Medicago truncatula: one gene and its partners. The main gene of each other region encodes a partner of the protein of the gene in region 3 in a complex. Links are inferred from orthologs where the notes say so. Each region holds a gene or a part of one and is shown on either strand. Other genes may lie near its edges.

Region 1 (7,064 bases), on a different chromosome or scaffold from region 3:
CTTGAAGTATTACATTTTCCTACCATAACGAGTCACGCCTAAAAATACTAGTTAGTTAAGCACTTTGATTCTTTGCAACAAAATATTCTTTTTTTTTTTAGATAAATTCTTTGCAAAAAAGATTCAATACAATATGATGAGATATTGAACCTTTGTCTATCACCTTTAATCCATCCATCTATTACCAAATAGTGAAAAAGTATATTAAGTCAATGAAAGGACTTTCATCACCATTTAAAAAAAAAAAAAAGTTTTTGGTACCAACCATGTTCCTTTTAATTTCAGGCCAAACGGAAGGGTATGCTAGATGTCAGAGCAGTGTCCTCGACATATCGAAGCCTAAACAAATTATATCCCAACACTAAAATTGAGTGTCAGACACATGTCATGTGTGTGTCGGGCACACCTTAAACCTAAAGCGCCGGTTTTGCATAACACTACAGGACAACTAACTCTACTGATTTTCAATCTTAGAAATCTGTAGTCCAGAAAATGAAAATTACCAAACTTTTATTTTTAAGAAGCTAAACTAGCCCACCAAAATTGGCACCGGGGAGAAAATTAACAAACTAAATGCACACTTTTAACTAAAGTTTGATTGCCATTCCCTAGGAAAGAGTATTCTCAAAGTAAATAAATAAATAAAAGTGATCACTAAACAACAGTTCCTCGTAGAAACTATGATCTATTTATATCCCCTGCCCCCAACAGAAGATAAATAAAGGTAGTGTGCTGTAAGCTTCGTTCGGAAAAGAATCAGAAGGTGCTACTTCAGGTATACTGAGCCAGCATCATGCACTAAACATTAACACTTGAAATACTTAAGAAAAATAATTAGTCTACCAGACAATAACAGGTTACCAAAAGAAGTTAAGGGCCATTTATAAAAGGTGAATATATATAGACACACAGACACATGAAAACATATTTTCAAGAAGCAAACAATTACTTCATGCGAAATGTAAATCAACCAACTGACTCACTGTTCAGAAAAACATACGAGAAGGAATGCCCTAAGTGCGGCAGAAAAGGCATGATTGACTAGGCCATTCTCGAACTGAGACCTTGATTCCACAAATTGGTTGATCAACAAAAAGCTCCTACATAGAGGAAATATCCGTTTTGCCAACTCCTGCAACAACAAAACTGGCTCAGACTCAGCTCTATCATTGTATTAAATTATACTGTTCATTATCTAATCTGAATAATACAGCTATAGCATAGGACAATTTACATTCCCCATCAGCTTTCTTAGCAAATAGATACCTCCAAAAACACAATTCGGGGGCAGAGTTATGGATGCAAATCACAGTTTGAAACAATGACCGAATATAGAAAACATGGTTGCAGAAAATAATTTCCTTTATTTTGAATTACTGCCAAACACAGAGTGCAACTTAAATTAAAAAGCATTGCAGTATTTGAATTGCAAGATAGATGCTTCATATTCCATTTCTAAAGTTTACAAAAAATAATAATACAGAAACATGAAAGTAAAACCTAAATGGCTTTAATGAACCTATTTTATTTTAGCACTAGGTTATGATACTGAACATATTAAACACCTTATAAACTTCTAGTCTATAAAAAAAAAAATGTATAGAAAGTATTTCCGTTACCGCTATAGTTTGGCTTGCCATCTAAACTTCCTATCAGTTATCAGTTATTATCACCATAAAGAAAAAGGGGGAGGTTTAACACCTTTAATGTTATGATTGCGGGTCAAACCATGGTAGCGAAAAATTATGCAAATCTCACCTGTAGTGCCAAATCCATAGATGGGTCAACCAGGAAATTAATAATCTCATCCTTCTTTCCACGAAGTGTTTTGATTGAAATGTAACGCCCTTCAACTCCAACCATAGCAGAGAGGACTTCATCAATAACAATAAGCTCCTATATTTCAGTAGAACAAAACAATAGCTTAAATTTTTAAATCTTGAAACCCTAAATTGAATATGAATGCAGATATACACAGTACTTGAATACATATGAATAGAAATGAATACATACACACACAAAGAGAAAACTTTAAAAACCAATACAACACCAAGCCAAATAAGATGGCAGCATATAGAGGACACAAAGTGAAATAATTTTCAAAAATATTTAAAAAACCTAATCTATGCAGTTTGATGAAAGAATAACATTGTTGTCAATCACAGATTGCAATGTAGTAGTTTGTTCAAATTATGCTATGCTTTCCTATATCCGATATTTGAGGATACTTTGAACTAAAATGTGTGTCATAAAACCATAACGATATGTTAAAATTCTGTTTCTGCTATAGCCGCTACTTGATGACACTACAAAGCATAGCCAGGACCTTAATTTCTTACCAATAATCATAGCATAGTTCACTTTGTCTAATTTGTTAAAAAAAAAAAATTGAAAAAAAAAAGGTCCTTCCCTTGGCATAACAAATAGTACATTTTCTTAATTCCGAGCAATGTGCCGTATAAAAAAGCTTATATACAGTATAAACATATGTATTTTGAATTGAAGTTAGGTTTTTGAACTAAGATAAAATGTTAGGTAAAAATTGAATAGAATCGAAGGCAATTACACTACTAGAGAATACTTGAGCAATCACATTCTTAGAGACTACACAGAAATTCGAAAAACAAGCACCAAAATGAAGAGAACAAAAAGTTGATAGGTGACAATAGATCTGAGAATGGTTCGATAAGTGAGAGAGAGAGAGAGGGAGGAACGTACTTGAACAGGAGGATCGTAATAGCCGATAAGATTTTCAAACCCTGCGGCGGCGGTTTGATTCATGTTGAAATGCAGTGAAAGCAGATCGGAAGAAAAAGCGCTTTTCAGTAATCGCTTTTTTAAAGATTATTTGCGAATCGAAATGGGAAAGAGATGTTATGAACTATGGGAAGATAAATGCAGAGAGAGTGAAGTGAAGTTGTTAACTCACTAGATTTTCTTCTTACTTCTTTATTCTCTCTATTATTTTGAATTTTGTCTGGTTTCTTCTTTTCAGGAATCTCTCCATTCCATTCTTCACTTTTCAAAATAACTCCTTTTTATTTTATTTTATTTTATTTATTTTTAAGTCAAAAACTCACTTTGATTTTATCTCTGAAATTGTCCAAGTTATTTTTCTTTAGTAAATTACACTCTCCTCCTCTCAAAGATGCTTGAATTACACTCCCCTCTCCTCTTATATTAAAATATACACTCCCCTCTCTTGAAAAATAAAATTTATAATCCCTTCCCTTATAAGATGTTTAAATTACAACACTCTCCCTTAATAATTAACTATGGACTACACTTTAATCTATTTAAACATAAATAAATATTTTTATAATATATTTCAATTTTAAACCACCATTTAAGAAAAATTAATTCATTTCTTTATAATTTAAATGTCAATGATAATTAAGTTTAAACATTTTGCTACTGATTTTATAATTTAGAGTATAAAATTAACTTTTAATTTGTCTTTAGTAATTTTTCACATATTTTAATTTTAGTTTTGGTTGTTTATATTTTATAATAGGGTTTAAAACTACATGTTAATGAAATTGTGAATAAAAAATAGCGAAAAATATGTATTCAATTTTTATTATATTAAAATAGACCCACAATACTATTTTTTTGAAGTGTGTTAGATTATTATTTTTTTGCTAGATTATTAAAAATAAAATAAAAATTAATATTGAAGGAGTAAAGTGTAGATTTTAACATAAGAGGGGAGGGGAATGTAATTCAAGCTTCTCTTAGGGGAGGGGAGTGAAAAAAATTCAAATAAGTTTTGAATAAGAGGGGAAGGGAGTGTATATTTTAACATAAGAGGGGAGGGGAGTGTAATTCAAGCATCTTTGAGGGGAGGGGAGTGTAATTTACTCTATATTTTAACATAAGAGGGGAGGGGAATGTAATTCAAGCTTCTCTTAGGGGAGGGGAGTGAAAAAAATTCAAATAAGTTTTGAATAAGAGGATAGGGGAATGTATATTTTAACATAAGAGGGGAGGGTAGTGTAATTCAAGCATCTTTGAGGGGAGGGAAGTGTAATTTACTCTTTTTTTTTTTCTTTCTCATTAATAGTATCAATCTTGAAAACTTAAAAAAAAAAAAAAAAAAAACTCATCGAAATTGATATCGGGAAAAATCAAACCTGATACGTTAGAAGAAACACGTTTCAAGCTCTCAACTACCACCGTGGATTTGAAAACTTAAATCGGGTTAAACACCTTTATAATTTATATAAATATAAATACATTACATTACATTTCGTTTCTAATTGCCATAAGAATTTTTTAAGTTTCCTTTGGTACATCTTGTTAACGATTGCCCTACGGACATTATTTAATGATTTCATTAAATGAAATTTTGTCTTAAAAATATAAGTTACTCCAATAATTACACGTTTTTTTAGATAAATTTACCACTTTTAATACTTTAATCAATACCCCAAAGACACTCGTTAGTCTTTTTTAAAAATATGGTTAGCCTTTTTTAAAAATATTTGCATAAGCATGCTAATTTTTTTTTATTTTTTATGGAGACATAAATATGTCAATGTTTTTTATGAGGACTAAATGTGATATATTTATAGAGATCAAAAACATATTTAACCTTAATATAGTACGCTAAAATGTGAAAAGAAAAATACATAAAAAATGTTGTATTATGACTCAAATTTGATGAATAGAGGGTAGGCCAAAATCAGGCCACGATTTTGGCCCACTTTTGGAGTGTTCTTTCGACATTTTTCAGACCACAATTTGGTAAAATCGAAGTCCGATTTTGGATAAGGAAATATGTGTACTGTGGTACTATTGGGTAAATTGGGGCACAATTTGCTGAAATTGGGGCACATTTTTGCCGGGTCTGAGCACTATAAAAGGCTTCAAGAGAAAGAAACTTAAAAAAATCAAATTAGATAACTTTAGAGTTAAGGGTTTTTGCTTAGGATAATGCTTGTTTTTAAGGGAACCCGAAGAGACAAAACGCACGAAAATATCCAAGCCGTGCATTTTCACCAACACATGGGCGTGATTTCCATTACATAAGGATTAATACTTTTTTATTTTTTAGAAAAGAGCGGACAATGTTATTCTTGCTATTCTTGCGGCCATCTTTCCTACAACATAGCATTGCCCCTTTGATTAAGGTTCTTTTGAGGGGTTTTCTTGGGTAGGAAAACATTTGTAAACATTTCCCCAATTTCTTGTAACATTTTTGTATCTCTTTGTAAGAACTCATTGATAATGGCTTGGAGAGATCAATCTCTCCCCATAGTAGGTCAAGTTGGGCCGAACTGGGTAAACATTTCTATGTGTGTTTGTTTCTCTTATCTCTTTATCTTTTGCTTGTGGTTTTGTACTCTTCACTTTATTCCTAGATTAAATCTAGGTTTGTTGTTGTTGTTGCTGCTCATTGTGGTTACTTTGATACTGGTTATTACTTTCCTTTGCTCCACATATGATAGTTTATTGGTGTGTTTTTGAGTCCGAATTCTAGCGTTATGGGTGTATTATGTTTATGCATACTTAATAGGCATTATCCTTCGTATTTTATTGTAAGTCACTTTAAAAGAAAAAAAATTGGTTTTATTATAAGTCGCTTTAGAATTGAAATGCATCATTCCTATCGTACCATTTACCATTTATTACTCTATTTTTTTCAATTTTTTAATCTTTTTTTCACATATCATTAATAAGGGATAATTTTGTGAAATCATTTATAATTTCTCTTTGCAATACAAAATTAACTATATTTCATAATATGTGTGAAAATATCAAAACAAGTTTAATAAAATAAGGAGAGAGTAATAGATTATAGGTAAGTTTGTTACAAGATATAATAAGAAATGAAAAAGTCAATTCAAATAATGTATTCCTTTTATATATAATTTTTTTAGGGATCCTTTTATATTTAATTTATTTACAGGGTCAATTGCTCAAATTAACCTGATGTCTGAAAAATGTCTCAGTAAAATAAATAAAAAAACAAATATACTAACCTTGTAATAAGACTACACACAAAAAAAATTCCACTAGGGACTGATAATTATGATTTTTTATGCCATGATTAATCTCTCTCTTTTCTTAAAACTTTAAAATTTTATCGTGAAGATTCTTACGATGTTCTAGCCATGACTACACAATTAAAGAATGAAATTTGACTTATGAGTATACATTTATTCGAAACAAAATTACAATTTTGCATATTTTGGTTTGAGAGTAAAAATAAATCAAAACATTTTTGAAATCTCATGAAACTATGCAAATCTTTTTTATGTATTTTTATAGATGTCTCTCCAAACAAATAACTAAAAATTTGATTTATAAGTCAAAATCTCCGTTATTTTGTTTTTTAAGTTTTTACCGTTTTAAAAATTCATAATTAATTTATCCTAGTTGAAAAATTCCAATTTTTTTTTGTGCAAATCCATACTTTAATGTCTTAAACATGTATGGAAAAAATCTTGAATTTTTCATGTAGAACCATATTTTTTTTCAATGGGTTTTAACGTCTTTTTTCTATTATAATCACCACCATTTATTATCTTTTGTCTATTATTACTCTCATTTCTTTTTCTATAACATTTTTTGTCTATTAGTATGAGATGACCAAGTCTACACAGAATATTTAACAAATAGAAGAAAGACTAATGACTTGGTGCCAAAAAAAAAGAAAAGAAGAAAGACTAATGATGATGAAATTTTTATAAATCATATGGATCAATTTGATTCTACAATCTGTTTAGCTTTTCTGTATTATGGTGGACTTAGCCACCTCTTTCCTCTAGATGTTTCCGTTACAGGGATAGATCTAATTTTCCTTTTCGCAGGTTATACACTTACTGACTTTGTTGTATTGGTTCAGGCATCTCCTGTCTTTTATATTTTAGTGCTTTGATAATTTTTTTTTTCTTTCTACTTCTTCCCTTTTTTCTCTTCTCACTGATTCTTCAATCCATCAGTGTTGTAGCTCAAACCAAAAGTACCATAGCAGCTGGTGATTTTCATATTTCAGAAACCAACACCTCTCCATGGTTGCTTTCACCTTCTGGTGACTTTGCCTTTGGTTTTCTTTCAAT
Region 2 (7,630 bases), on a different chromosome or scaffold from region 3:
TACTCTTTTGCTGTAGCTGGTTCTAAATTGATAAAAAGAATCCGGTTAATGTGCTTCGAGAAAATAATTCACATGGAAGTAGGATGGTTTGATAAAGCTGAGAATTCAAGTGGTGCGCTTGGTGCAAGGCTGTCAACTGATGCTGCTTCGATTCGAACTTTGGTTGGTGACGCACTCGGTTTGCTTGTTCAAGATATCTCTACAGTTATTACAGCCTTGGTAATTTCCTTTCAGGCAAATTGGCAGCTTTCTCTCATCATTCTTGTTTTGTTGCCTCTACTATTAGTAAATGGATATTTTCAAATCAAGGCCATGCAAGGATTCAGCACAGACGCAAAGGTTTGTGCCTTACACAATGTGCTTCAATTGCGTCACAATGCATTTTTGTCTCTAAATTTATTTAGTACATATTTTGTTTCTATATGAAATTTGTACTAATCTTCATTTGACATGATGTTTCTATGCTCTAAATATGTTTCACAGAAACTATACGAGGAAGCAAGTCAAGTAGCGAACGACGCAGTAGGGAATATCAGAACAGTTTCTGCTTTCTGTGCCGAAGAGAAAGTGATGGAATTATACCAGAAGAAATGTGTAGTACCATTCCAGACAGGAAAAAGGCAGGGTTTAGTCAGTGGAACTGGTTTTGGGTTAGCAATCTTCTTTCTGTTTTGTGTCTATGCAATCAGTTTTTATGCTGGCGCCCAACTTATTGAGAATGGCAAAACTTCGATGTCAGGAGTTTTTCAAGTAAGTTACGGTCCCAACTCGGAGGCCATTTCAGATATAGTGCTCTTTGGTTGAACTCTGAGCTCATCACATTCTTTTAGCATTAAACATTTAATTTCTTTTCAGGTATTTTTCTCTCTCACAACGGCAGCTGTCGCATTATCTCAATCCGGCTTCATGGCTCCAGGAGCTAGTAAAGCCAAAAGTTCAGCTGCTTCAGTATTTGCTATTCTTGATCAGAAATCAAAAATAGATACCAGTGATGAATCAGGAATGATACTGGAAGATGTGAAGGGAGAGATTGAGTTCCATCATGTCACTTTCAAGTATCCAACCAGACCTGATGTTCATATATTCAAAAATCTTTCCTTGACCATTCATTCAGGACAGGTAAATTAAAAATATTATATATTGGTTTAGTGCATAATTCTCACAAGAATTCACTATCAAAAAATCCATCTAGGTTTTTCTAAGAGAGAAGCTTAACGTTTGGTTGTTTCAATCAGACAGTTGCTCTAGTAGGTGAAAGTGGAAGTGGAAAATCAACAGTGATCTCATTGTTGCAAAGATTTTATGATCCAGATTCAGGTCAGATTAAACTGGATGGAACAGAAATCCAAAAGCTACAGCTTAAATGGTTTAGGCAGCAAATGGGACTGGTAAGCCAAGAGCCTGTGCTGTTTAATGACACCATCAGAGCTAACATTGCCTATGGAAAAGGTGGTAATGCAACTGAGGCTGAAGTTATAGCTGCAGCAGAACTAGCAAATGCTCATAACTTCATTAGTAGTTTGCAGCAGGTAAACTACAGAAATTTATGAAGCATTGACACGTACACAAACACTAAATTGTTTATGGTTCTGTTAAGAGAGGAAACCAAACTGAACTTTTACTACTTCGGTAAGAATGAACCAAACCTTTAATGGTTCATCCAGGACCTAAACAAACTAGTATAAAGGTTCGGTGCACCGATTCAGTGGTTTCAAACCAAACGGAAAATATTTTTACAAAAAAACGAACTGTACTTTTTTCAAACTGAACTAGTTCTTTGTGAATTTAATTGTACCAAATTGCTATTATTAATTGATAATTAGGGCTGTTGAAGAAAACCAAAAACGAAACCAAATTGAATTTTATGACTGTTTAAAAAACTAAAAATCGAATCACTCATAAAAGAACCAAACTATGATAGATAGTTCATGAACTGAACCGAACTGAGTTCAGTCCAGTTCGTGAACTGTCAGTCACAATTAGATTTTTTCGGTATGGTGGAGTTCGCTTCGGTTTAACTGTTCCATACATTTTTTTTAAACAGTCCTAACTGACACGATGTTGACTCTAACACGAAGGCATTAGTAAGAATTTAAGAAAATAAACGTGTAACCGCATGTGTTAGAATCATCGTGTTAGACACTAGACATGTCTTTGATCTAAAGTGTCAGTACTACATAGCACACAATACTCAATGAGCTGAACCTGTTCTTAAAACTCTTGCTACGAACGTGTGAATTGCAATATTTCAAATAACTAGCTACCTATGATGCATGCCTTACGAGGTTCTGAATTCTAGAAAAATAACATATGCAGGGGTATGATACAATAGTAGGAGAGCGAGGGATTCAACTTTCTGGAGGACAGAAGCAACGTGTGGCAATTGCAAGAGCCATAGTTAACAGGCCAAGAATATTACTACTAGATGAGGCCACAAGTGCCCTTGATGCAGAGTCTGAAAAAGTGGTTCAAGATGCACTTGATAGAGTGAGGGTGGACAGAACCACCATTGTGGTGGCTCATAGATTATCAACAATAAAGGGTGCAAATTCAATTGCAGTTGTTAAAAATGGAGTGATTGAAGAGAAAGGAAAACATGACATATTGATCAACAAGGGTGGCACCTATGCTTCTTTAGTAGCATTGCACACAACTAGCACTGCTTCATCTTAAGACTCTTTCAACCTATTCAATCTATTTTTGCATGCTTCTTCAAAAAAAAAAAAAAAATTCTATTTTTGCATGGTTTCTAGAATAAGTTATTTTGAAAAAGTTTTTTTTTATACACACACATTCTGCTGCATCTAATATATAGAAGCATTTATATACATGCTTATTACCTCCAGTACGATTGACACTATTGTGTACATTTTTTTTTTTTTTTGGTAAAATGCTTAAGTATACATTTAACAATGAATTGTGTCATTTTAACAACAAATTATAGGGTTAACACAATTTAAGTAGCACCACTTCATCTTAAGACTCTTCACATTGTTGTATTTATATATACTGTTACTTTTTATATTCTATAAGAAATCTTGATTTTCTATCAATTAATTTAATAACTGTTTCATATTTTTAGGTAAAAATATGATTTTTCATACGGTACTTTGACTATATCTTCTGTTCTCCTTCTAATTCATTAAATTTGATATTATTTAGCTTTGTTTATGTACATTTTCTACTCTCTTTTTTTTTTTTTTTTATATAAAAAAACTTTACATCATCATTTTGTTTTCTAATTCTATTTTTTCACGTTGTATTTTATTTTAAAAAATCTAAAATTTAAATGTGATAATTGATTATTATTATTATTGACGATAAAGAAAAGTAAGTAAAAGATAATCAATTACAAGACACATAGGAACTCCTGTATTGTTTAAATGGGTACCAAAGGTTGGATAAATGTGGTAAGTATAAAAAAAAGTTGGATAACTCAACTGATTTGAACCTAAAGATTAAAGAAGCCGAGGTGATAAAAATTTAGGGTAGTTCAAGTTCGTTGATTTGAACCTAAAGATTAAAGAAGCCGAGGTGATAAAAATTTAGGGTAGTTCAAGTTCGTTTAATGAGAAAAATACTAACATATAACATAATAATGTTTGTCATTAAAAAAATGCTTAAGTGGATTTCACATAGTTCATTTTATAATTTTGGATATCAATAACTAATAATATCTAATGAGCATTCAATTTCTTCAACTCAACATTTCAATTGTTGTAATAAATAAATTCTATAAATAACCATATCATTACCATTAAACAAAACTAATTTATTTTAAAATATTTTATTAAGTTGGGTCCGCAAAAATAAACAACAAAGATTCTTTTAATAAACATCATTCTCTAGAAGAACTCAAAATTATCGTTTGACAACATAGGTATGTATTTAGATGTTAAATAAACGAAGCACACACCATTGTGATGCTCGGTGAAAAGGGAGCGGAAAGGTGGTTTGTTACCCCTAAACAAATATGAAGCTAATTAAAAAAAGGTAATTAACTTTCGTTTGGTTCGAGAGTTTTGGAAGGGAGGAAATATATTTAATTTGATGTGTTTGATTCAATTTTAAAAAGGCCTTTAAGATTTTCATATTATATAATCCGAAGTGAGTTTTTTTTTTCCTTTTTTTGTAGAACATTGTTTTTTTCCACCAATTTGGATTATAAAATTTGAAAAGAAAAAAAAAAAGTACTTCGTATTTTATAATACGAACACTCCTTGTACAACATACTTGGAAACATAAAATCCGAACTCCCTATACATCTTCTTATGTTAAGAATTCATGAGAAAATATATCAGATTATATAATCTGAATCCTGCTATCAACACAAAAGACTAAGCATTTTTGTGTAGGATAACCAATTTAAGAATCATATTAAACATCCTAAGGCCATTGTTCGATGTTTCCGCCATGTCTTATAAAAAAATCCAATTTTTAGGCTAGTTGATGAGTTTTTACTTCAAAACTTGTGATATTGGATTATTAACCCACTACAAGGATTCTAAATCGTGTTTTTCTAGTTCGAATTAATAAACACAAACATCAAAAATATGCTGGGAATAAGACTAAGGGCAAAGAAAGTATGGTGAGAAAAATAATTGCCTAAAAGAATACACAATTACCGACCTAAACTCATCTATAAATACAAAATTTGCGACCTAAAATCTCAAATTAATTTTAATTCTTATTCTTTTTTCCACCGCCGCTCCGTCCAAGCCTTTCATCTCTGTTTCGCAGTTGGCATAGGTTCTGATTCTGCAATCTCTCTGCCACGCCGCAACATCTTTCACCTTCGCATCAGCAGGTTTTATCGATTGATCCTTTCTTTTCTTTCAGAATTACTACCGATCACTTATAAATCACAATTTTAACATTGAATTGAATTAAGTATTATTGCTGATTGTTTTTTTATGAGTCACTTTTTGTTGCCGTACCGAGTACTGTGAATCACAATTGCAACACTGCATTGAATTTTGTTATTTTCTTAAATTTTACTATTATTATTATTGTTATTATCAATGTCACGATTGTTTGCAATGATCTTGTGAACACAATTAATTTATGAGAATATAATCCCCGTCAACACTTATATGGAGGTCTCCTTTTTCATGGCAACGGATTCAAGTGCTTTCAAATGATGAATCCAAAAAACAAAAGAATCATACCATTTTCAATATAATTAACAATATTGATTTGTTGTGTTAGTGTGATTTTCAACAATATTAATATGTAAAACTCAAACGAACTTTGTTAATTATTTTTAAATGAATTTACATGATAAAGATCAAAAGAATTATGTTTAAAGTAATTAAACTCACAAATTTAGCGAGAGGAGAACTTGTGAGAATTATACCATTTTTTTTTTTCTTTCTGGCTAAAATGACTTTAGAGTGAGAATTAGGGTTCCCCTAAGAACATTAGAAGAGTGATGAGCCATCAATTGCCAATGTTTGTGAATTACGCTTTTTGCAATATGATAGTGAGAAGATAAAGGAAGGAAGTGTGTTGATAACAAGTGGTCATGTAACCAGTGATGATGAATCATAGAAGGATGATAACAACAATGAAAAGAACAAGTCGGCGTTGAGTTTCAAGAGTTCTAAAGACAAGATTTTGCAAACATCTCAAGATTGCAAGGAACCGCTTCTAATAACGATATTGAAGAGAAGAAGATTGATGAAAGTGAAACTTAATTCGGGTCCATACATGTTATGAATTTTTAATGAGCTTCCAAGTGATGTTTTTGAATATGAAACCATTTAGCGTCTTTTTTTAGTTTATATTTTTTATTAGGAATGATATTATGATTTTGTGTGGATACCCTTGATGTTGTTATGTAATTTGCCTTGTTGGCAATTTTTTTAATTATAATATCACATGTATTATTGAGCCTTTTATGAAATACATAATAAAACCGCTTAATAATCCATAAATATATTATAACTAAAAATCCTCAATAAGGAAAATTACATGACAACATCAAAGGTATCCCACACAAAAATCATGCTATCATTTCTCATACAATAAACATAAACAAAAAAGAGACACTAATTGGTTTCATCTTCAAAATCATCACTTGGAAGCTCATTCGAATCAAAATTCATAACAACTATTGACCCTAATTCAGTTTCACTTTCGTTAATCTTCTTCTCTTCAATATCATTATTAGAGGAGTCATGTTCCTTGCAATCTTGTGATGTTTGAAAAATCTGTCTTTAGGAATCTTGAACCTCAACACCTGTCGTGGCGGTTAAATACAAAAGCTTTCTTGCAATATGATATATGGTAAAGAGAAGATGAAGGAAGTGTGCTGCTAACAATTAGTCATGTTACGAGTGATGATGAATCATAGAAGGATGATAGCCACAATGAAAAGAACAATTCGGCGTTGAGTTTCAAAATTTCTAAAGATAAGATTTTTCGAACATCTCAAGATTGCAAGGAATTGCCTCTTGTAACCATATTGAAGAGAAGAAGATTAATGAAGGTGAAACTTAATTCGGATCAATACATGTTATGAATTATGATTTTAATGATCTTCCAAGTGATGCTTTTGAATATGAAACCAATTATCATCTCTTTTTTTGTTTATATTTTTTGTTACGAATAATATTATGATTTTTGTGTGGGATAGCCATGATGTTGTTATTTAAATTTGCCTTTTTGATAGTTTTTTAAATTATAATATCACACGTATTATTGAGCAGTATACAAAATACAAACGGCATAATAATAAAAATTCTCAATAAGGAAAATTACATGACAACATTAAGGGTATGGAACACAAATTATATTATCATTTCTCATTCAATTTATATAACAAAAAAAAAGACACTAGTTGGTTTCATCTTCAAAACCATCACTTGGAAGCTCGTTCAATTCAAAATTCATAACAATTATTGACCCTAATTCAGTTTCACTTTCGTTAATCTTCTTCTCTTCAATATCGTTATTATCGTTATTATAGGAGTCACGTTCCTTGCAATCGTGATGTTTGAAAAAATCTTGTCTTTAGGAATCTTAAACCTTAACACCCACTTCTTCATTTCATTGTGGCTATTATTCTTTAATAATTCATCAAAATCACTTGTAACATATCAATTGTTAGCAACACAACTTGTTCCTTAATCTTTTCATTATCATCCATGATGTTGCAAGAAAGTCTGTGCCTTTTACTGTCATGATTGTGATTCACATCAAAATTGGCAGTTTCCTAGTAACTCCATGAGACGAGTTCAACTGTGTTTGATCATCAATAATAACTCTTTTGTTCTTATATGTTATTCGGAGATTCTCACTCTAAAACCATTTTCTGAACAAAAAAAAAAAAGGAATAATTCTCACTCACAAATTGTCCTCTTCAGTCTTCATAGAGCATGATTAGAATGTTATAATTTCTACTCGCTAATTTTGTAGCTAGGTTTTATCATGTTAATTCATTTAAACATGATTCTTGCGAGATTCATCGCGTTAATTCATTTAAAAATGTTAGAAAATTACACTAGCACATCTGATCAATATTCTTAATCATATTGAATATGATATGATATTTTTTTTTTTGGATTCACTTTGAACTCAATTGTATCCAATGTGTAATTTTTTTTTACAGGGTGACTAATTTTCATTT
Region 3 (7,823 bases):
ACAAACTACCTGGCAAAACCACAAAAATTGATTACCTAGAGAAAATGAGAACGTCACAAAATCTTCTAAGAAAACATTTGGTGGGAAAATGAAGTGGTTGAGATATCCACCATACCTTTAGTTAATTAAGACTCGTTGAATCGTTGGTCTGCAGGAAGTTAGAACCGCAATTGTTCAACTCAAAACACACAATGGAAGTTAGCTAAGTGCAAAGCTTTGTTGATGTCTTATCTTGTTGAAGTAAACAATGCATCGATCTGATCCTCGATCATATTCACAAACTTCCTATATGCTACGACACAACCCGCCTATAAAATTCATTGAAGTCAAGACGGAAAAAGAGAAACTTTAGATCAACATGCTGCTGCACAGGCAACTGAGAAATGAAATCCTCTTGCAATGATGAATACTCCTTAGATATTGCATCCAGATCTTGTTCCATTTTTTGGAGAAAAACACCAGCGTGTTTTGTTATGGCTTTTCTCCCATCAGCAATCCAGGATTCTTCTTCCGATGACTTATCAGTCGATCGCTTCCGTGTTTTCTTCTGGTCTCGAGAGGACAGTGAGGACTCTGTGATTCTGAAACAAACAGATGATCAAATGTTAAACATGGCAATATGGGGAGAAGAAATTGAGGAAGCAGTAAAGAAGAAAAGTGTGATCAATACCTTGCTTGCAACTCGTGAATGCCTTCGTATAAAATATCCGCATGGCTCCGAAAACGTAATATAAGATCAAATATTACTATTAGTGACTTGTAAAGGGACTGAGAGAGTTCTCCAAGGAGAGATTTCTCTACAATCGAATTCATATATTTCTCATGAGCTGCAAGTAGATCATCAAGATCCTTGGCTACTTCCATCTCACTTAAAAAGTTAGACCATGATATTTCCAAGACTTCAAACATTATATAATATTGCAAGTTTGAAATGAAGTGGTTAATTTCAACCCAAAGAACTTGGCAACGTCTCAATGCTGAAACTAGCTGCATCTTAACAGCATGTTGCAATCTATTAAAGGTATTAGAAGTTATGCAGTTTGGTTTCATGGTCTTCCAGGCACCAATAAGTGCATGTTCCACTCTCTTAAGCTTCCATAGAAAATTAAAAATTCTTAAATACCTCGCCATCACAGACTCTGTGAACACAGTATCTAGTGGAACTCTTGCATCATATTCCAGAGAGAATACATCCCAGCCCCTATCACCGCTTTCATGTGGCATCATTTTGACCCTGAGCCTATCCAAAATATCAGGGTCATCATACTGAGCATTTGACGCCCGAATTGCAGTTTCCAGCAAACCTGCAAGTTTGAAAGAGCTTATTGTGTTCGCAGGCACAGAAAGTTCAGGCCCAACAATATCCATTAGATATTGCACAAAATCACCTTGGCCAAGCAACAAATACCGCTTAATCGCAAGACAGTGCTCTTTGAATTTATACCTCTCATAAATTACATCCAATAGATGCTTATCAATTCTTTTTGAAGCTTCATCAACCAATGACTCAAGGGTATCAGTTTCCCCGTAACCAAAACCACCACGTCTTGCCATTGCCCCTGTATCTTCAGTCGCGGCACGAGCCCAGCCACGGTCCTCACAGCAAACACGGAGAAAATTTATGGACTTTCCAGTCCTCAAAATCCTCTGAGCAAGAGAAGCCGAAATAAAAGAAGGAAGCATAGCATCATAGAGCCGATATCCCTCTCTCCAAAGCGATTCAGCTTTCACAGGCTGCCCAACAATGAAAAACTCAACAAAAATATCTTCCAACTCCCCTTCCAAAACCCACCTCTTCACCATTTCAAAAAGCGGAGAACACACACGCCGAAGCAACCTCTTCATAAACTCATGAACCATCGGATCCCCATGTCTAGCGTGTAAATGAATCGCACCTGCCATCGCCCCACCTCTCAAAACCCTACACTTCTCAACCAAATCCGCCATCAACTTCATCTTCACCATCGGCTCAGCAAGCCAAACCGCCAATCTCCTCAAAGATAAATAATTCCCGGAACTCACACCCTCAGACAACAACGGAATCGGATTCGAACTCTGAGCCTCAAGCACAGCCAACAACTTATAATAATCACTCAACTCATCCTGCAATGCAGCACAAAAAGCCTGCCCAACCGTCCCCACATCCTCCGCGGGAAACCTACCCAAACTCATCTCAATAAACCCAACAACCCTCTTAAACAAAACCCCTAATTCACAAAGCTTAAAAACCATACTAGAACTAGCCCTAGAAACCCTAATTGAATCCAACAAAACATAACCATCACTCTCTTCATCAAATTTCACATACTTCCCATCCACACCTTGACAAGCATAAATCACATCAGTCACCATAGCTTCCTCAGTCACATCATTCTCTTCCTTTATCAATTTCACATATTCATTAAACGCTATTTCGCGACGATTCTTGGGATCCCTCGCAAGAATGACAACACCATCATTAAATCCATTATTTTCACCGCGCGGTTGAACGTTATTCTCCGAAATCGTTAAATTGGGAAGAAGAACGGAAGGGTCATTCGATTTAGCAGCGGATTTACGATCTTGAGAGATAATATTGAAGAGATGAAGTAGGGACCACTTATTATCGATATGAGTGGCTTTGGTGGAGAATTTGGTGTAAAGGTCAGCGAAGGAGAGGGCTTCGGAGGAACGACCATCGGTGGCGAGACGGCGTTTGATGGAATCGGCGACGGCGGCGGAGTCGGGGGTGATGGAGGGGGTTAAGTGGGAAGAGAGAATGCGGTGAGCGTAACGGAGGGAGTTTTGGAATTGAGGGGAGTTAGGGTTTATGGGTTGGGAATTTGGGGGGAGATTTTGGGAGAGGAGGTGGTGGACTAGGGCTTTCACTAGATCTGGGAGTTTTTGTTGTTCTTCTTCGTCGTCCATTGTTGCCGCCGGAGAGTCAGATGAAACGGTGTCGTTTTGAGTGTGGTTCAGAGTGAAAGAGAGAGAGAGAAAGGTTTTTTTTGATTTTTGGGTGGGCGCGGAAATGATTTTCTTTTTTGGGTTAATGGCGGAAAGTGAATGTTTTATTGCAGGTAAGTGTGATCATGGAATTGAAAGTACAGGTAGTATAAGGGATAGGTGATTATTGTCATTCAAATTGCAAATATATTTTAAGTTTCAATTTCTTTTTTGTTATTTTGGGGATTAAATTGAAATATACATTTGATAATCAACATGACATATACGAGGATCTCGTAAAAAAAAAATATATGAGAATTATTTTTTATGTTAATCCTCCAATTTTTATGCAGAAGTATTTTAATCATCGTTGTTCTATCCAAAAATTAAATTTAGGTTCTTCTAGATGTAGTAAAGCGGTTTGGTTTTGTTCTTGCGAGAAAATAAATTTGAATGAATAAAAATTAATTGGTTTGTTTTTACAACCTTCTCGTGAAATTTGAATCAAACTAAATTGATGAAGATCATATTAGATTTGATTTGCTTCGATTGGGTTGATATTTTTATTTTAAAAAAGATAAGATTATAACTTATTTTAAAAATCTATGATAAAATAACTTTTATAAGAAATTTAAAATTCATTTAAAAAACATGACATCACTTTTATTAGTAACAAAACAAATAATGTCTAATTTTTTTTTTTTGGCATTACATTAATCCAAAAGGAGTCGTATTAAGCCTTAAGTGTCGCACTTTAGAGTCTTTGGATGTATTGATCATGTACATGTGTCTGATACCAAAACGAAGAAGCTGGAAAATAGGAGCATAAGTTAACGTGTTTTGTTGGAAGTCAGTGAGGATTCTATAGCTTATATGATCATAACACAAAGTTTGGTGTAGAAACTACATAAAACAATTGTTAAGGGCTTGACTAATAAGACGAGACTAAAAGTTTGGTGGAGACAGGAACAATGAGAAAGATGACACTAATGATAATGAAGGAACTTTTATAAGACCGATGAGGTGAGGCTGGAAAAACCAATGAGAACATCAGTGTGAGACTCAAGTAAAAGCCAGGTTGGCTAGAAGAATATGTTAAGAGACATTGAAACAACAAATGAAGAATAACACACCTACCTTAGTCACTTTTACTCAATTTGAAGATCATGTGCACTTTGAATATGCAGTGAAGAATCTCAATTGGAGGAGAGCCATGGATGTTGAGATGAAAGCTTTATAGAGAGAAATGAAACTTGGCATGACTACACTTTCCGGTGGAGCTAAAAAAATGGATTTAAATGGGTATTTAATACCAAATATAATGAGAAAGGAGATGTTGAAAAGTACAAGGCACGGCTAGTGGCAAAACAATACTCCCAAATACGTTTAACGAGGTGTTTGCATTAGTGACAAGATGGAATATCATAAGAACAACCATTGTTGTGCAAACTATTAGAGGTTGGAGCGTATACTAGTTAGAGATGAAAAGTGTTTTCCTACATGGAGAGATCACAAATACATTTTATGTTGGGAACCATAAGGGTTATGTGAAGAAGGATAGTAAGGATAAGTCTACAAGTTGAAGAAAGCTTTGTATGGTTTAAGGCAAGATCCCAAAGCTTGGTATAGCAAGATTGAAAGCTATTTTCAAAAGGAGGGATTTGAGAAGCGTACCTCCAAGCACGCGGGGGCGTAGCCTTTCCTTGCCAAGGGGTAGCCTTGGCTACCCAAAAAATATATTATTCTTCAATTGGTTGGTATATATTTATATCCTGCTGCCCCAAATAATAAATATTAAGCCATCTCAAACAAATTTAGTTGTCGAAAATTAACATAAGTAAGAAAGTAAAATTATTAATACATGATGGATAAATTTATTTATATTGGTTTGATACTTCTGCTCTCAATAATAATTATGGTGAAAATTTTTTCAACATTAAAAGTTATTAAGACAATAGTCATAAACAAATTAAATGGACATTCAGTTTCTTGCAAATAATCTATTTGTTTACATCAGAAAAAACATTATTAATCTATTTAGTAAACGGCCAACTATGGGACTAAAAACATTTTTATCCTTAGATTTAACATATTCATTTTAAAAATATTTTACTATTTCTTTATAATTGGCCCCTGCGTAAATTTTTTGCTAGCTTCGCCGCTGCAAGCACGCTTCTTTTTTCTTCATGAAAACGGATTTGAACGATGACTTGTTGATTGTTAGTATTTGTGTGGATTATTTAATCCTCATGTGAAACAATGCGACCATGTTCATGGATTTCAAAGAATTTATGAAAAGTATATTCGACATTACTACTCTAGGCAAAATGAGTTATTTCTAAGGGGTGGAGGTGATTCAGAAGAATGAAGGAATTTTCATTTATCAGATCACGTATGTTGAGAAAATATTGAGAGGTTTCAAGTGAAAAATGCGAATTCACAAAAAAAAAAAAAAAAAACTCCATTGTGCCTGGATGCAAACTGTCAAAAGAATAAGGAGACAATATATATAGTTCATGTTACCAACTACAAACAAATAGCTGGAATCTAATGTATTTGACTCCAACCATACATGACTTAACGTTTTCAGTATGCTTGATCAACAAGTACATGGAAAAGCCAATTACGAAACACTTGCAAGTTATCAAGAAGATCATGAGATACTTGAGTGTACTGTGAAAGTTGGTATTTGGTACAAAAAGAGTGAAGCTGATGAATTAATAACATACACTGATAGTGATTATAACGATGATGTTGATGATAAAAAGAACACATCAAATAATGTGTCAGCTGTCATTTCCTGGTCAACTTAGAAGCAACATATAGTTACACTTTCTACCACTGAAGCAGAATTTACAGTTGCTGCATCGTGTGTTTGCCAAGTAGCGTGGTTGAGAAGAATAATCGAGATATTAAATTGCCGTAAAATTTGTAATACGATGATGTGTGACAATAATACCTGCTCTAACAACTACCACATCCTCTATTAAGGGTGTCCATATTTTGAAGGCCTTCTCGACCGACGAACATTCATCCTCCTATTGTGCCTAGGATTAAAGAAGTTTTATGGCGGCCTCCTTTAAATGATTGGATTAAATGCAACATTTATGGTGCTACAAATAGATGATGTCCTAGTTCTTATGCATGTGGTGCCATTTTCAGAGACAACCAGGCTAATGCCTGGGGTGCTTCTCTGTTAATATAGATATCTCCATTCCTCTCAATGCTGAGATTACTTGTGTCATGAATGCTATTGAATTGGTTTTTCAGAAAGATTGGATGGATGCATTTATGGATTGAGTCTAATTCACAACTCATTGTTCAAGCATACAAGAATTATAGCCGTTGGGTTAATGCATCCAACTTAGATATATGAACTTTATTTTTTTTACTCTTTAAAGAGGGCGATCATTTGTGCTAACTTAATGGCTCTGCTCTAAAAGTGCATTTTAATGGTCTGCATTGGTGGAATCAAGTCACTGCTAGTATCTCTGGTGACTATCATAAAAATAAATTGGGTCTCACAAGATATTAATTTGTACCTAGTTTGGTACCACCTACATCTCTAAATACAGGATGCCATCGAGTATATTGCTGGAATTAATAAAGTTGTTTATAATATTAACTTTGTTGAAAGTTGATATAATTTTTACAAATTTATATCATTCAAGAAAAAAAAAGTTGATTAATGTTTTTATTAAAGTATGACTTAAATATGTTTTTAGTTCCCTAAATATACCAATTTTCATTTTTAGTCCATTTTTTTTATCAAATACCTTCTCTGGTCTTTTAACTTAGAATTTTTTAACAAGTTAGTCATTTTATTTTTTTGTAATAAATTGGTCATTTAAGTCATAAAATATTTTCACCATTACCCTCCCTTCAACAAACTCAGATAAAAAATGTTTATGTGGAAGTTTAATGTTAAATTGGTGAGTTCTAATTTACTGCTTTTAAAACTAAGATACATAAGCATGGTTCTCAAATTCGTGAGTAGACTCGTACGAGTGTACGAGTCTAGAAGGCAAAAATGAGTGGAATCACTCATAGAATTGTTTTTCTGCTAGACTCGTACAAACTCGCATAGAATCACGAGTCTATGACGAGTTTATGATTGAGTTTTTTTAAAAAGATAAGTTTTTTTAAATAAAACCCAAAAAAGCTCAACTTGAAAGGGAAAAAAAACATAAAATCTTCTTTTCTTTTTCTACCTCACTCTCAATTTTGAAACAAAACTCTCACTCTCACCAAAGATGGAAGAATTCAAGTCACGCTCACATTCTTCGACGACATTTTCTCCTTCCTTCATTGACGACGTTCTCTTGTTATGTGTCAAAATATTGTGAAAACTAATGTTGTTAATAACGATGTGCAAAGTGGCTGTGGAGGTTTAAATAATCCAAGTCAGGTTACGGTTAATGATGAATAAGGTGTTTTATGTGCGGTTGAGTTTGATGGTGATGGTCAAGATGTTTGTGAAGATGATCGGCGGCGAAGCTGATAATATTTTCACGAGGTGGCCACATATAAAGAAAAATATTTTTTTAAATAAATTAATAGTAAATTTAACAAATAAGCAAAAAAAATTGTAATAACTATTATGTATATAAAATATACTTCATAAAATACACTTAAAGCAACAAAAACGACTTATAAATGGTTGATAAAAGGTTATAATTTACTAAAGCGTTAATAAAAAGTCTGTTTTTACAATAATAAAGGGTTAATAAAGTGCCGTTAAATCTCTTTGAGCCAATGGTGATAAAAAAAATCTTGGGAGGAAGTGATAGATTATTGTTGTTGTCATATTTTCATTGTCAACCAAGGAATATATATATATATATGTACTTTTTTGTTCATCCTCCAGTTCCTAAAAGACAGGATTTCCAAAGTTTAAA

What was found.
Region 1: gamma-tubulin complex component 3 (region 3) and gamma-tubulin complex component 2 share a complex: the UniProt entries of both Arabidopsis thaliana proteins name them as parts of the gamma-tubulin complex. The link is inferred for Medicago truncatula from reciprocal best matches to the Arabidopsis thaliana genes SPC98 and AT5G17410.
Region 2: gamma-tubulin complex component 3 (region 3) and mitotic-spindle organizing protein 1B share a complex: the UniProt entries of both Arabidopsis thaliana proteins name them as parts of the gamma-tubulin complex. The link is inferred for Medicago truncatula from reciprocal best matches to the Arabidopsis thaliana genes SPC98 and GIP1.

What each region holds. Positions count from the first base shown.
Region 1 is NC_053049.1:2,946,926-2,953,989, reverse strand, and holds the start of gamma-tubulin complex component 2, read right to left. Parts: upstream 3,011-7,064; 5' UTR 2,782-3,010; coding exon 2,719-2,781; intron 1,897-2,718; coding exon 1,759-1,896; intron 1,133-1,758; coding exon 1,001-1,132; exon of another isoform or gene 984-1,000; intron 1-983. Other genes in the region: G-type lectin S-receptor-like serine/threonine-protein kinase RLK1, read left to right, coding at 6,701-6,815. UniProt on the Arabidopsis thaliana protein: Gamma-tubulin complex is necessary for microtubule nucleation at the microtubule organizing centers (MTOCs). Required for the positioning of the gamma-tubulin-containing complex on pre-existing microtubules and for the proper organization of cortical arrays.
Region 2 is NC_053045.1:59,337,377-59,345,006, forward strand, and holds the start of mitotic-spindle organizing protein 1B, read left to right. Parts: upstream 1-4,529; 5' UTR 4,530-4,807; intron 4,808-7,612; 5' UTR 7,613-7,630. Other genes in the region: ABC transporter B family member 3, read left to right, coding at 1-339, 484-750, 856-1,119, 1,236-1,529, 2,317-2,673. UniProt on the Arabidopsis thaliana protein: Required for gamma-tubulin complex recruitment to the microtubule organizing centers (MTOCs). During mitosis, modulates gamma-tubulin complex localization, spindle stability and chromosomal segregation. Necessary for gametophyte development and embryogenesis.
Region 3 is NC_053048.1:44,058,876-44,066,698, forward strand, and holds the start of gamma-tubulin complex component 3, read right to left. Parts: upstream 3,064-7,823; 5' UTR 2,908-3,063; coding exon 671-2,907; intron 582-670; coding exon 293-581; 3' UTR 116-292; intron 10-115; 3' UTR 1-9. UniProt on the Arabidopsis thaliana protein: Gamma-tubulin complex is necessary for microtubule nucleation at the microtubule organizing centers (MTOCs). Required for the positioning of the gamma-tubulin-containing complex on pre-existing microtubules and for the proper organization of cortical arrays.